3 linked regions of the Xenopus tropicalis genome follow. The protein of the gene in region 1 purifies or fractionates together with the protein of each later gene. This does not show direct contact. Links are inferred from orthologs where the notes say so. Each region holds a gene or a part of one and is shown on either strand. Other genes may lie near its edges.

What was found.
Region 2: the proteins of ppp1r9b (region 1) and ppp1cb purify together in Homo sapiens (affinity purification with mass spectrometry; 4 studies listed by BioGRID and IntAct, with this or other methods). This does not show direct contact. The link is inferred for Xenopus tropicalis from reciprocal best matches to the Homo sapiens genes PPP1R9B and PPP1CB.
Region 3: the proteins of ppp1r9b (region 1) and wdr48 purify together in Homo sapiens (affinity purification with mass spectrometry; 3 studies listed by BioGRID and IntAct, with this or other methods). This does not show direct contact. The link is inferred for Xenopus tropicalis from reciprocal best matches to the Homo sapiens genes PPP1R9B and WDR48.

What each region holds. Positions count from the first base shown.
Region 1 is NC_030686.2:18,319,650-18,323,304, forward strand, and holds part of ppp1r9b (neurabin-2), read left to right. Parts: intron 1-7; coding exon 8-140; intron 141-1,216; coding exon 1,217-1,337; intron 1,338-1,802; coding exon 1,803-1,907; intron 1,908-2,337; coding exon 2,338-2,473; intron 2,474-3,097; coding exon 3,098-3,253; intron 3,254-3,339; coding exon 3,340-3,393; intron 3,394-3,626; coding exon 3,627-3,655. UniProt on the Homo sapiens protein: Seems to act as a scaffold protein in multiple signaling pathways. Modulates excitatory synaptic transmission and dendritic spine morphology. Binds to actin filaments (F-actin) and shows cross-linking activity. Binds along the sides of the F-actin.
Region 2 is NC_030681.2:5,955,176-5,958,830, reverse strand, and holds part of ppp1cb (serine/threonine-protein phosphatase PP1-beta catalytic subunit), read right to left. Parts: intron 1,992-3,655; coding exon 1,860-1,991; intron 1-1,859. UniProt on the Homo sapiens protein: Protein phosphatase that associates with over 200 regulatory proteins to form highly specific holoenzymes which dephosphorylate hundreds of biological targets.
Region 3 is NC_030682.2:13,425,775-13,429,429, forward strand, and holds part of wdr48 (WD repeat-containing protein 48), read right to left. Parts: intron 3,514-3,655; coding exon 3,289-3,513; intron 2,944-3,288; coding exon 2,869-2,943; intron 1,990-2,868; coding exon 1,887-1,989; intron 1,787-1,886; coding exon 1,689-1,786; intron 860-1,688; coding exon 752-859; intron 331-751; coding exon 234-330; intron 1-233. UniProt on the Homo sapiens protein: Regulator of deubiquitinating complexes, which acts as a strong activator of USP1, USP12 and USP46. Enhances the USP1-mediated deubiquitination of FANCD2; USP1 being almost inactive by itself.

The sequences.
Region 1 (3,655 bases):
CCTAAAGGTGTATAGCACCTATTCCAATGAGGAGTACGACAGGCGTAACGAGGATGTGGACCCAATGGCGGCCTCAGCTGAGTATGAGCTGGAGAAGCGGGTGGAAAGGCTGGACCTGTTCCCCGTGGAGTTAGAGAAAGGTAAAGCAAAGTACTAGAATAGGTTTCAATCAAAAAGCATATTGCATCTACATTTAGATATTGTATTCACCAGCACCTTTGGTTAGGTTTTATATTTGTTGGAAATCTGGCCCTATATCTCTCATTGCACTTCCCTACTATTCAAAACTGTTTGTTCCATTTCTCCTTAACCTGGCATAGAGCACAGGGCAGACACACCATGACCCATTGGTTGGTCTGGAAAAGTGACTATTGAAAAGCACTGTGAGCATTACCCTACCAAGCTGCTTGCACGTTTGCTGTACTTGCTGAGTATGATGTTACTGTTTTACATAGGAAACGCTGCTTTGATGAAAGGAAGTAGATCAAATGTGTTATCTGCTTAAATAAGCAACAGTCAGTTTTCCAGGTTTGTTACTCAGCTGGCTGCTGCTACATTGCTTCAGGAGCTAGAACCAGAAGTGCAAAGAATATAAAGAGTCAGACACTGCTTTCAATGGCAGTTACATTTATATTTGGGCATTTGGTGTGTTTTTATTTACGACAATGACAGTTTCCGTTTAAGGCATTTAACGAACACACAGAGTCTGTTTCATATCTACCAAACTATTTAAATACATATCTGACCTACATTATATAAACATTACGTTCTCTGGGTCTGTTTTCTTTCATATCCCACATATTCCCTACAGACTCAGTTCCTAGAATATTAAGTCACTCTCTCATCTTCTCTGTAAAAGGCATTCTTATTATTATTAACCTTTGATTATATTGTACCAAGACGCGCAGACCAGTCCCTGCACCAGCGAAGCTTACAATCTAAAGTCTCTATAACACTTATGAAACAGGCAACGGTCAATTTCATTGGGAACCATTTAACCTACCTACTTGTTTTTGTAATTATAACTCATCATAACATAAAACCTATATCAGCCTCACTTCATATCCATATTGTTTCGGTTGGACAAGGGAGCCAAATGTAACCCCTACATACCATGTACGCCATGTACTAAATCATGTGTTCATCTTAAATTATACCCCATATTTATTGAACTATGCTGTTCCTGATGATAACCAATCACTGTGCATCTCTGTAGACTCTGAGGGACTGGGAATCAGTATTATTGGGATGGGAGCCGGAGCTGACATGGGACTGGAGAAGTTGGGAATATTTGTCAAGACGGTGACAGAGGGTGGAGCTGCCCACAGAGATGGAAGGTACAGTGCTCAATTATGTTATTACTAATTACATTAAAAAATGCATGAATCTGTTATAACTTAAGAAAATAATGTTTTGGGCATATTTATAAAGCCTCCTATCCATTCTAAAATAATGGTGATCAGCTGTCATTTACTTAACAATGTCCATCTTACAAGAAATTTGATTTTTACTATACTATGATTATCATCAGGTCTCCCCCAACTAACTTGCACTGCATTAATGTCAAAACAGTGCTTGTTAATTTTGGGGGAATTAACAAATCAGATGGACACTTCCACTGAGCTCTAACACCCAATAGCATAGAATGGAGTTTGACTACTTGAACTTCTTTTCTAGATTTAGTGAATACCCACAGATAACTGGCATCTTAGTATTCCACTACTAGGCTATTTGTTTGCCAATACATAATACCTTTATTTATAGCATCTTTACTTCTCTGAGAGATATATTTTATCCTCCAGGATCCAAGTAAATGATCTTTTAGTGGAAGTCGATGGGACAAGTTTAGTGGGTGTCACCCAATCTTTTGCCGCGTCTGTCTTGAGGAACACAAAGGGACATGTAAGGTGAGGTTTAACAATTTTGTTATAGTATTTAATAACCATATTATTGTGCCCATAGTGTAAATCTGAAATAACAGCCTCTGTAACTAAATACTATATAGCTTTAGCCATCTAGGTTGCCATATTTTTTTGATTATGGCAGTGCAAAAGAGGAGTATTAGCCTAAGAATCTAACTTAAGGGTGGACCTCTTGGCCATGGCTAAATAATATGTTTGGTATTATTAGTACTATTTCAGTCTGTGGCTCTTTAGTTGTTGTTAAATGTACAGGAACATATGGTTACTACGCAATGGAATAGTCTGGTCCTACCATGAGTTCATAACTTAATATCTTGGGTTTAATTCAAAATAAGAACTACCCTGTCTGTAAGAGGCTAAGGAATTTTTACACCACAAGCCACAAGTCATGTTCATAATTGTATGATTAAATTAGGTTTTTAATTGGTCGGGAAAAGCCTGGAGAACAGAGTGAGGTGGCCCAGCTGATTCAACAGACTTTGGAACAAGAAAGGTGGCAGAGGGAGAATATGGAGCAGCGATATAATCAGTGCAATGAGGATGATGAAGAGGTGAGTGGGGTAAAATATAAGGCAGTGAACAGTGAGTGGAACTTACAAACCTATGGACCCTTACATTGACATTAAAATAGCACAACTGAGATATCCATGTATATGGAACACCATCAAGCTTAATGGAAGCACCAAAAAACAGGGCAATGCCTGGGTTGGAAGTAATAAGATTAAACAATACTAAAAACGTCTGTATATCACTGGTGGGATTATTTCAAAAATGAATTAACCATAGGCAAAGGTGTTATGGAACTAAATACAGAAGGAAGAAACAAGTAATACAGTATAAGGATCTTGAAGATAGATTGCAATATTATTTTAAGCAAAGCCTGCTTTGTTTTTTTGTTTTTCTTCAATGACCAACACTCATCCTCATCCAGACTAATAAATGCATTCATATGATGAGGGTAAGCTCTAGCCAAAAAGGTATCTTAAGCTTAGCTTATTTGTATATGTGCTGTCTGGTACTACTCATCTGAAAAGCAGCTGATGGGGCTTCTGTGGTGGAAGTTTCCCTTTTTGTAGTAAGAGTTATTGTCTGCTCGGTTGAGGTGGTGCTGAAGATTTTATGCTAGTGTTGATTTTTTTTCTTAATTGGTAAAGGTTTTATTCATAATATTTTAGACAGGGGAGTATGCAACAGATGAAGAAGATGAAGAGATGAGCCCTATGTTCCCAGGTGGGGAACTGGCTATTGAAGTGTTTGAACTTCCTGAAGGAGAAGATGCCCTGTCCCCAGTGGAGATGGACCCTGAGAAGCTAGTGCACAAATTTAAAGAGGTAATTGTCTCAAGTTTCCAAAAAAAGGCCATTAAGTAGATGGATCTCCAGTCTAGATATCAAATCATTTTTGTTCTCTTCCACAGTTGCAGATCAAACACGCAGTGACTGAGGCTGAAATTAAACAACTTAAAAGAAAGGTAAGGATTGTATGTCCATGGACAATATTGTCTCATTTCTACCAGCATCTTCCATGTTCCAACTTTCTACTCAATGCCACACATTATTTAATATTCCATTTCAACCAGTGTCTCCAACATTAACCAGCACATAGTCGCCTAGATCTAACTGGTCCCTGGCCCATTTTTAAGTTCTCTAACCACCCTGCCAACCCAGATTGCTCATTGTCTTATTGTCAACTTTCTTCTTGTAGCTGGCAGGTCTTGAACAGGAACGTTCTCG
Region 2 (3,655 bases), on another chromosome or scaffold:
GGAGGAGGGTTGGTTTCTGCCATATTGTTTCAAAAGTCAGACGCAGAGAACAGGAAGGATGGACACTACTTTCAATTGCAGCCTTACCTGCATCCAAATTATCTTTAAGAACTGGAATAATTGCAATGTGAATGGAGCAGAATTCCTTGTGGGACGACAGACGGGGCTTTGTACATGCTCGGTGCTGAGCAGATAAACGAGCCGCCCTCTGAGAGCCCTAGGTGGCTGCTGACACACGGCCAAATAAAACACCCGCTGCTTCTTACTGTATCGAGGCCTGTGTGTGAGCAGAGCCGGCAGAACAGGGGACACTCACATACACAGAGGCAAAATATACATATCATTCAGCTTCTCCTCAAGCACAAACAACGCCGGCAGTCAGGCAGATATTGCCCAATACTCTCCTACTAAGGGTAAAACGGATTGTGTCATAACAGCTGAAAAACAGGTGCGGCCTAATGTGGGTGCCAGCAACACCCACATACAGTCTGTATACCTATACCCTAATTCCTGTATGTTTGCAGTGATAAATAAATACTGTAGGTTGTCCGGTCTAGGTAAAAGGATAGCTGATCATCATGTGTCAGCGGCACTGCACATGCTCAGTTTGGAGGAGGTGCTTACTGGGCATGCTTGGCGATGATCAAGACACAAAGTAAATATCCAAATGGTGGAGGTCAAACAGACCATGGGGGGGGGCAGAGATGGAAAAAGCATGATTCATAGGTCATAGAAGGGGTGGGGCTTGCGAGAGAGTAGGAAAAGTTTTGTTATAATTAGGCTGGTTGGATCAAGGGTGTGGCCATGTGTGCAAGGGGGTCCAGGTGACCAGTGGGCTAATAACGTGGGTCCCCTGGGGGGAGGTGCCTGCTATCTTAGTATTTTAGAGCCCAAGGATTACTGATGGCAGCCCTGAGGATAAGTAGAGATTAAAGCAGATTCCAAACACTTAATATCTGCTCATTTGGCAAGGCTGACATTTGCCCACCAATACACTGGGTCAAACTGAGATGATTCAGTCAACAATCAGTTAACAGTAGCCTAGCAACACCAGCCTCACCCAGTAATATTTTCTAACTTGCCTAAGATATCTGGCTGATTTTTTAAGGAGATATTGGATGGGCAGGCTCTTGGACTGTCCCCATACACAGGCGAATAAAGGTCCCCATACACGGGCCAATTCCAGCTGCCGACATCAGTCCCTTCGAGAGATTCGGCAGCTAATCGGCCCATGTAGGGGCACCAACGACGGGCCTGCCCGACCGATATCTGGCCTGAAATCAGGCAGGTTAAAAAATCTAGTCAGACGGGGACCGCATTGGCTCGTTGATGTGGTCCCCGAACAGACTTTGCCTATGCCCGTCGTTATAATTCGATAGTTTGGCCCCAGGGCCAAACGATCAAATTAGCCTGAATTCTCCCGATATCCCCCACCTACGGGTGGGCTATATCGGGAGAAGATCCACTCCACAAGCAAGTGGATCTGAAGGTGTATGGGCACCTTAAGCCTTAACCTTAAAGGAACAGTAACGCCAAAAAATAAAAGTGTATAAAAGTAACAATATAATATACTGTTGCCCTGCACTGGTACAACTGGTGTGTTTGCTTTAGAAACATTACTATAGTTTAGTAAACAAAGCTGCTGTGTAGCCATGGGGGCAGCCATTCAAAGGAGAAAATGCACAGAATACATAGCAGATAACCGATAAAACACCATTATATTGTACAGAGCTTATTGGTTACCTGCTATGTAACCTGTGCCAATATCTTACTCTGCAGTACAGTTAATTCCAGAAGCAACATTTCTCAAATTTAATGACATTCTCCCTTGAGTCCAGGTTAAGTCAGTCCAAACTTACCACAGATCTTCAGCGGAGCTTCCAACTCCAACAGGATTGGCTGACTGAGGAAGATCTCCCGGGACTTTATACAGAGCCCTCGCACTTCTGCCTCTGTCATCTGCACAATCTTCCCTGGGCGGCATCCTCGTACTGCAGGGGAAAAAAAAAAAAATATCTGAGGTTACACTTGGGGCCCAAAAAACAGCAAGACAATAAAACTGCATCTTTTCATAGAGAAAAGTAGGCTACAGCCATCCAGCAAAGTATAAATAGGGAGAATATAGTCTGCGGGTTCAGTCTTTAGCTTCATTTCATATCCGTAATACTGCTTGGTCTGTCATCTGCTTCCCAATTTGAACTTGGCAGCTCCAGGTTGGTCTGTCAACTCCCAATCATAATCAGCTTAGAAGGAATTCGGCAATTATACCCCCGAGCGTTACCTGTGGGGCTTCTGCCAAAAAGGAACACTTCCAGTCAAGACTGACTGGATAACAGGGATACTTGCAGTTTGGCATTAATAAAAGTACTATATGTAATACTAAGCCAACTTGAATGTAATTTAGGTACATGTACCTCCAGTCATAACAAACCCTGCTTATTCAGACAATGCATTAGGCAGCCATTAAGGGCACAAAGATCAAAGGCTGAACTGAGAATGCACTGCTGTACCGACAAAGGAACCCACCGTGTTGCTATTAACTATACAGAGCTGTGTTCCAAAATGTATTTCAAGAGAGCGGCCATCAAAAAGCAGCAATAATTAATGGGAACCACTCAGAAAATCAGCTTTGAAGATAAACAATCGGGCTCTGAGGTTGGCTGGCTCTGTGTATAACCAAAGGGGCAGGAGTTTGGATATTGCGGACATTTTGCAGCACCCTTAAAATAGTGCACCCCAATTTCAAACATACGTACAAAGAAATACGTAAATGACATCAAATACAGCGGCACTAAAGTCTCCCTTATATTATATTATAACTAGAAACAGCTGTACATTTGGGCTCTGCAGCAGTGCCAGAAGGATGCCAGGCTGACTCCCGTTACCCATGCCCACTACATACCAACAGCTCAGTTAAAGGAACAGTAATACCAAAAAATTAAAGTGTATAAAAGTTATTACAATATAATGTACTGCTACTCTGCACCGGTACAACTGGTGTGTTTGCTACAGAAACCCTACTATAGTTTATATAAATACCCTGCTGTGTAGCCCCGGGGGCAGCCATTCCTGCACTGGTACATCTGGGGTGTTTGCTACAGAAACCCTACTATAGTTTATATAAATACCCCGCTGTGTAGCCCCGGGGGCAGCCGTTCCTGCACTGGTACAGCTGGGGTGTTTGCTACAGAAACCCTACTATAGTTTATATAAATACCCCGCTGTGTAGCCCTGGGGGCAGCCATTCCTGCACTGGTACATCTGGGGTGTTTGCTACAGAAACCCTACTATAGTTTATATAAATACCCCGCTGTGTAGCCCTGGGGGCAGCCATTCCTGCACCGGTACAGCTGGGGTGTTTGCTACAGAAACCCTACTATAGTTTATATAAATACCCCGCTGTGTAGCCCTGGGGGCAGCCATTCCTGCACTGGTACATCTGGGGTGTTTGCTACAGAAACCCTACTATAGTTTATATAAATACCCCGCTGTGTAGCCCCGGGGGCAGCCATTCCTGCACTGGTACATCTGGGGTGTTTGCTACAGAAACCCTACTATAGTTTATATAAATACCCCGCTGTGTAGCCCCGGGGGCAGTCATTCCTGCACTGGTACAGCTGGGGTGTTTGCTACAGAAACCCCCGGGGCTACACAG
Region 3 (3,655 bases), on another chromosome or scaffold:
TGCGCTTTGGTACAGATTTGGTACTCACATTGGATACTCGCTAGATACTGATCAGCATTGGGGGGATTGTGACATATTTCAGGTTACACTAAGGTGTCAAAGAACAGTAAAGATCATTAGAGATCAGAGCAAAACTATCACAGGAATAAAAACACAGAAATCTGCAATACAACATACTTTTCTGGAGAATATTTTTTAAACGGACAAGCAAACAATTTGTGCTTGGATCTCACATTTTGGGTCAGATCCATCCGGACTGCTGAATCCAGCATCCTTCGCAGAAACCCACGCGGCAAAGCAGTCACTCTCATCTAGTGTTATCGTCAGCATCTGGCAAGTAGAACAGCAAAGCTTACCTAGAGCAGACTCACCCCCAGAAACAGAAGTGCTGAATATAAGCATCAAGCCCTCTCCTACCATGCCAATGTTAATATGTTCAGTCAATGCACTGCCTCATATGGCCTGGGTGGGCGCCATAAACACATAACTAAAACGGGCATAACTATGTCTTTGCACAGGCAATGTAAATTGTATAAGTGCTCTATAGTTCCAATTAAGGCATCATTTACTGGCAAGGCTAATAGATAAAAAAAACACAAAATATAGGATTGTGTGTATTTCGGATTTTAAGAATAAACCTTACACACACTCAGGGTGCAATACTGGAATGAGCTGCCCTGCCCACTGGGGATCAGAACACATTTACTGAAATATGAAAAGAATAAACAGACCCAAAAAAATATTTACTTACTCCAGTCTTTAGATCGACTGAGAACCAGTTTGGTACATAAACCATCTTAAACCTTTTCTTTATTTCTTCTTCAAAATCGACTTTTCCCAGATCCTCGACTTTGCAAGCCTGCAAACAAAAGCAGCAACTTTAATTGATCCTCTTTTTTCACTGATACCGGCAGCCCTTGAGCTATTGTTCTGCGAGGCTAAAATTATTAATTTGTTATTGTTTATTGTCATTTTTTTATGACTTATTTATCTTATCAGGCCCTCTCCTATTCATATTCTAGTCTTTCATTCAAAACCCTGCCTGGTTACTAGGGCTAGAGATACCTGCTGTAATTCCGAGCTCAATAAATAAATAAAAAACACAAATGAAAAATGAAGACGGATTGAAAATTGTCTCAGAATATCACTCTTTACATTATTCTAAAAGTTAATTAAAAAGGTAAACAACCCTTTTTATGTAACAGTTTGATTGGATGCTGGGAAGGCAAGAACAGACCATGACCTTTATCTCGAGCATCACACATATAGTGTTGTATGGCTTTGGCCATCATGTCTGTTATACTAGATCTAATCACACAGGCTGAAGAGCTCTCTACACCTTACACCTACACCTGGTACCCGGACTATTCCCCATCTGCCACCACCAGCAACTGCCATAGGGTGTTTCCAAATCAAGTCTGAAATAGTCACATAGAGGCAAGGCTTTTAAGCATAAAATGTATTCACACGTGCTTGTCATGACCTGTGGAAAGCTTTTAAATAAAGAACTTTCATGGTGCTAGAGATCACCAAGAATGGACAAATGCAAGGTGCTATTAAAGGTTACAATGGGAGTAACCAAGGAGCATGGGAACAGACTGTGTGCTGAAGCAATTGTCTTATCAATTTAAACTGCAAGGGACCAGAAACAATTACCTACAACACCACAGTGTAAGACTGTATCTTACCTTTAAAACATCCCAGTATGCCACATTGTTATTAGTGTCTTTGGTTAATATGTGCCTTTTATCATTGAGAATATTGCACTGGATGATGCTAGCGCCCCCTAGGAAGAGAATACATTAAAGTCTTAGCAAGTGACACTGTCAGTGTTACACAAGCAACACAAAAATAATGTATCATAGAAATAATTCCAGCGCCGTTACCTTTAATGACCTGGTCGGGCTGAGAGCAAATAGGACTGAGTGGAGTGCTGCAGTCATTCTCATAATCTCCGGAAGATCTGAAGTTCAGGATACCTTTGATAGGCTAAAACAAAACTATGTCAGGATTAACTGTTGTGCGTTTAGAACTGCATTTAAGGGCTCTAGCACACGGGGAGATTAGGCCCGCGACACATCTCCCTGTTTGCGGGAGACTAATCTCCCCGAATTCCCATCCCACCGGCGACAATGTAAGTCGCCGGTGGGATGGCACACGCTGCGCAGGCGATTTCGGCAAATCGCCGAAGTTGCCTCGCGAGGCATTTTCGGCGATCTGCTGAAATCTCGCCGCCGTGTGTGCCATCCCACCGGCGACTTACATTGTCGCAGGTGGGATGGCAATTCGGGGAGATTAGTCGCCCGCGAACAGCAAGATTTGTTGCGGGTGACTAATCTCCCCGTGTGCCAGAGCCCTAAAGGGCTGATGTCTACCCTAAAAAACTGTAAGCAACTTCCAAAATACATTATTATCCATTAAAAATGTTCATTTGCTTCAAAGCTGTTGTTTAAAGGAGCTATTAATAATTATATAGTCTGCACTAATAGTTCTGACTCATGAAACAAAGTAGCACAAGCCACCTAGTTAGATAAAGAGGTCTCGGGGAGGGTTCTGAAACAGAAAGATGTTGTCAGCTATCTGTCTAAGAGGCTTCTGTTTGTTTCAAGAGTCCGAACCAAAGAAAAGAAAGGAATAAACTGGTTTCAATGACATTTACAAAACCCACTTTAACACCATTTTAAAGGTTTATAGAATGAATAAAGGAAAGTTGCTTAGAATTGCATTTTATGTTGGGTGAAGTTACCCTTTAATCACTAATGCAGGAAGAGGAAACAAAATGATTCATGTCAGTTTTGTTTTCTTTATACTAGAAGATTAAATGCAAAACCGCTAAAACCGCTCTTATTGTTCGGAAACAATTCTTACCCATTTATTTACAGAGGATTTAGTTGTTGCGACCCAAAGCGCCAAGGGAGGGTCTGCTGACCTATCCAGCTCCATCTGTAGAACAATAAACAATCAGACTTTTACAATCACCGGTGTTTAGAAACAGAATCGGATTTAAATACACCTCACAGTGATTCCTACTTAGAGGGCTGGGCCTTACCTGTAAGTTTTAGGTTACAAATATAAAATTAACTCTTAGCTGCTTCACCTGCTACTGATTCAGGCACGTAAAGCTGATGACAGACAGTTGCATAATAAAGGGGATTTAATGGAGATTCTAGCTCTCAGTTTCAATGTATGTGTGTGATTGTAATCCAGAATGGTTAGAGATAGAATGCTAGGTATTTTCATTCAGCGCTAGATAAACAAGTAAAATTACCGATCACCAAGCAAACATACCTTTAGAACTGGTGCTTTTTCTTCACATATAAGCAAGCGAATATCAGGATTCCGTAGGTCTGTACAATAGATCTTCCGGTCTCTCCCTCCTGAATAGACATGTGTGAAACCTTCATTGACCTGGAGAGCCCAAACCCCTTCATCATGGACACGGTAAGTGGCTATACACCTTTGCTGACCCAGAGACCACAGTCGGATTGTTCCATCAGAGCTGCCTGAGAGACACTGAACAAGTCGTGGGAATTAACACATAAAACTCGATTGTTTCCTTGAACAAGCTTCTGCATTTAACAGTGTTCTGTCCTTTTTTTATTGCATTTTTTTTGTTGTTTGCAATTTTTGAGTAATTTTTTATGTTTAGCAGATG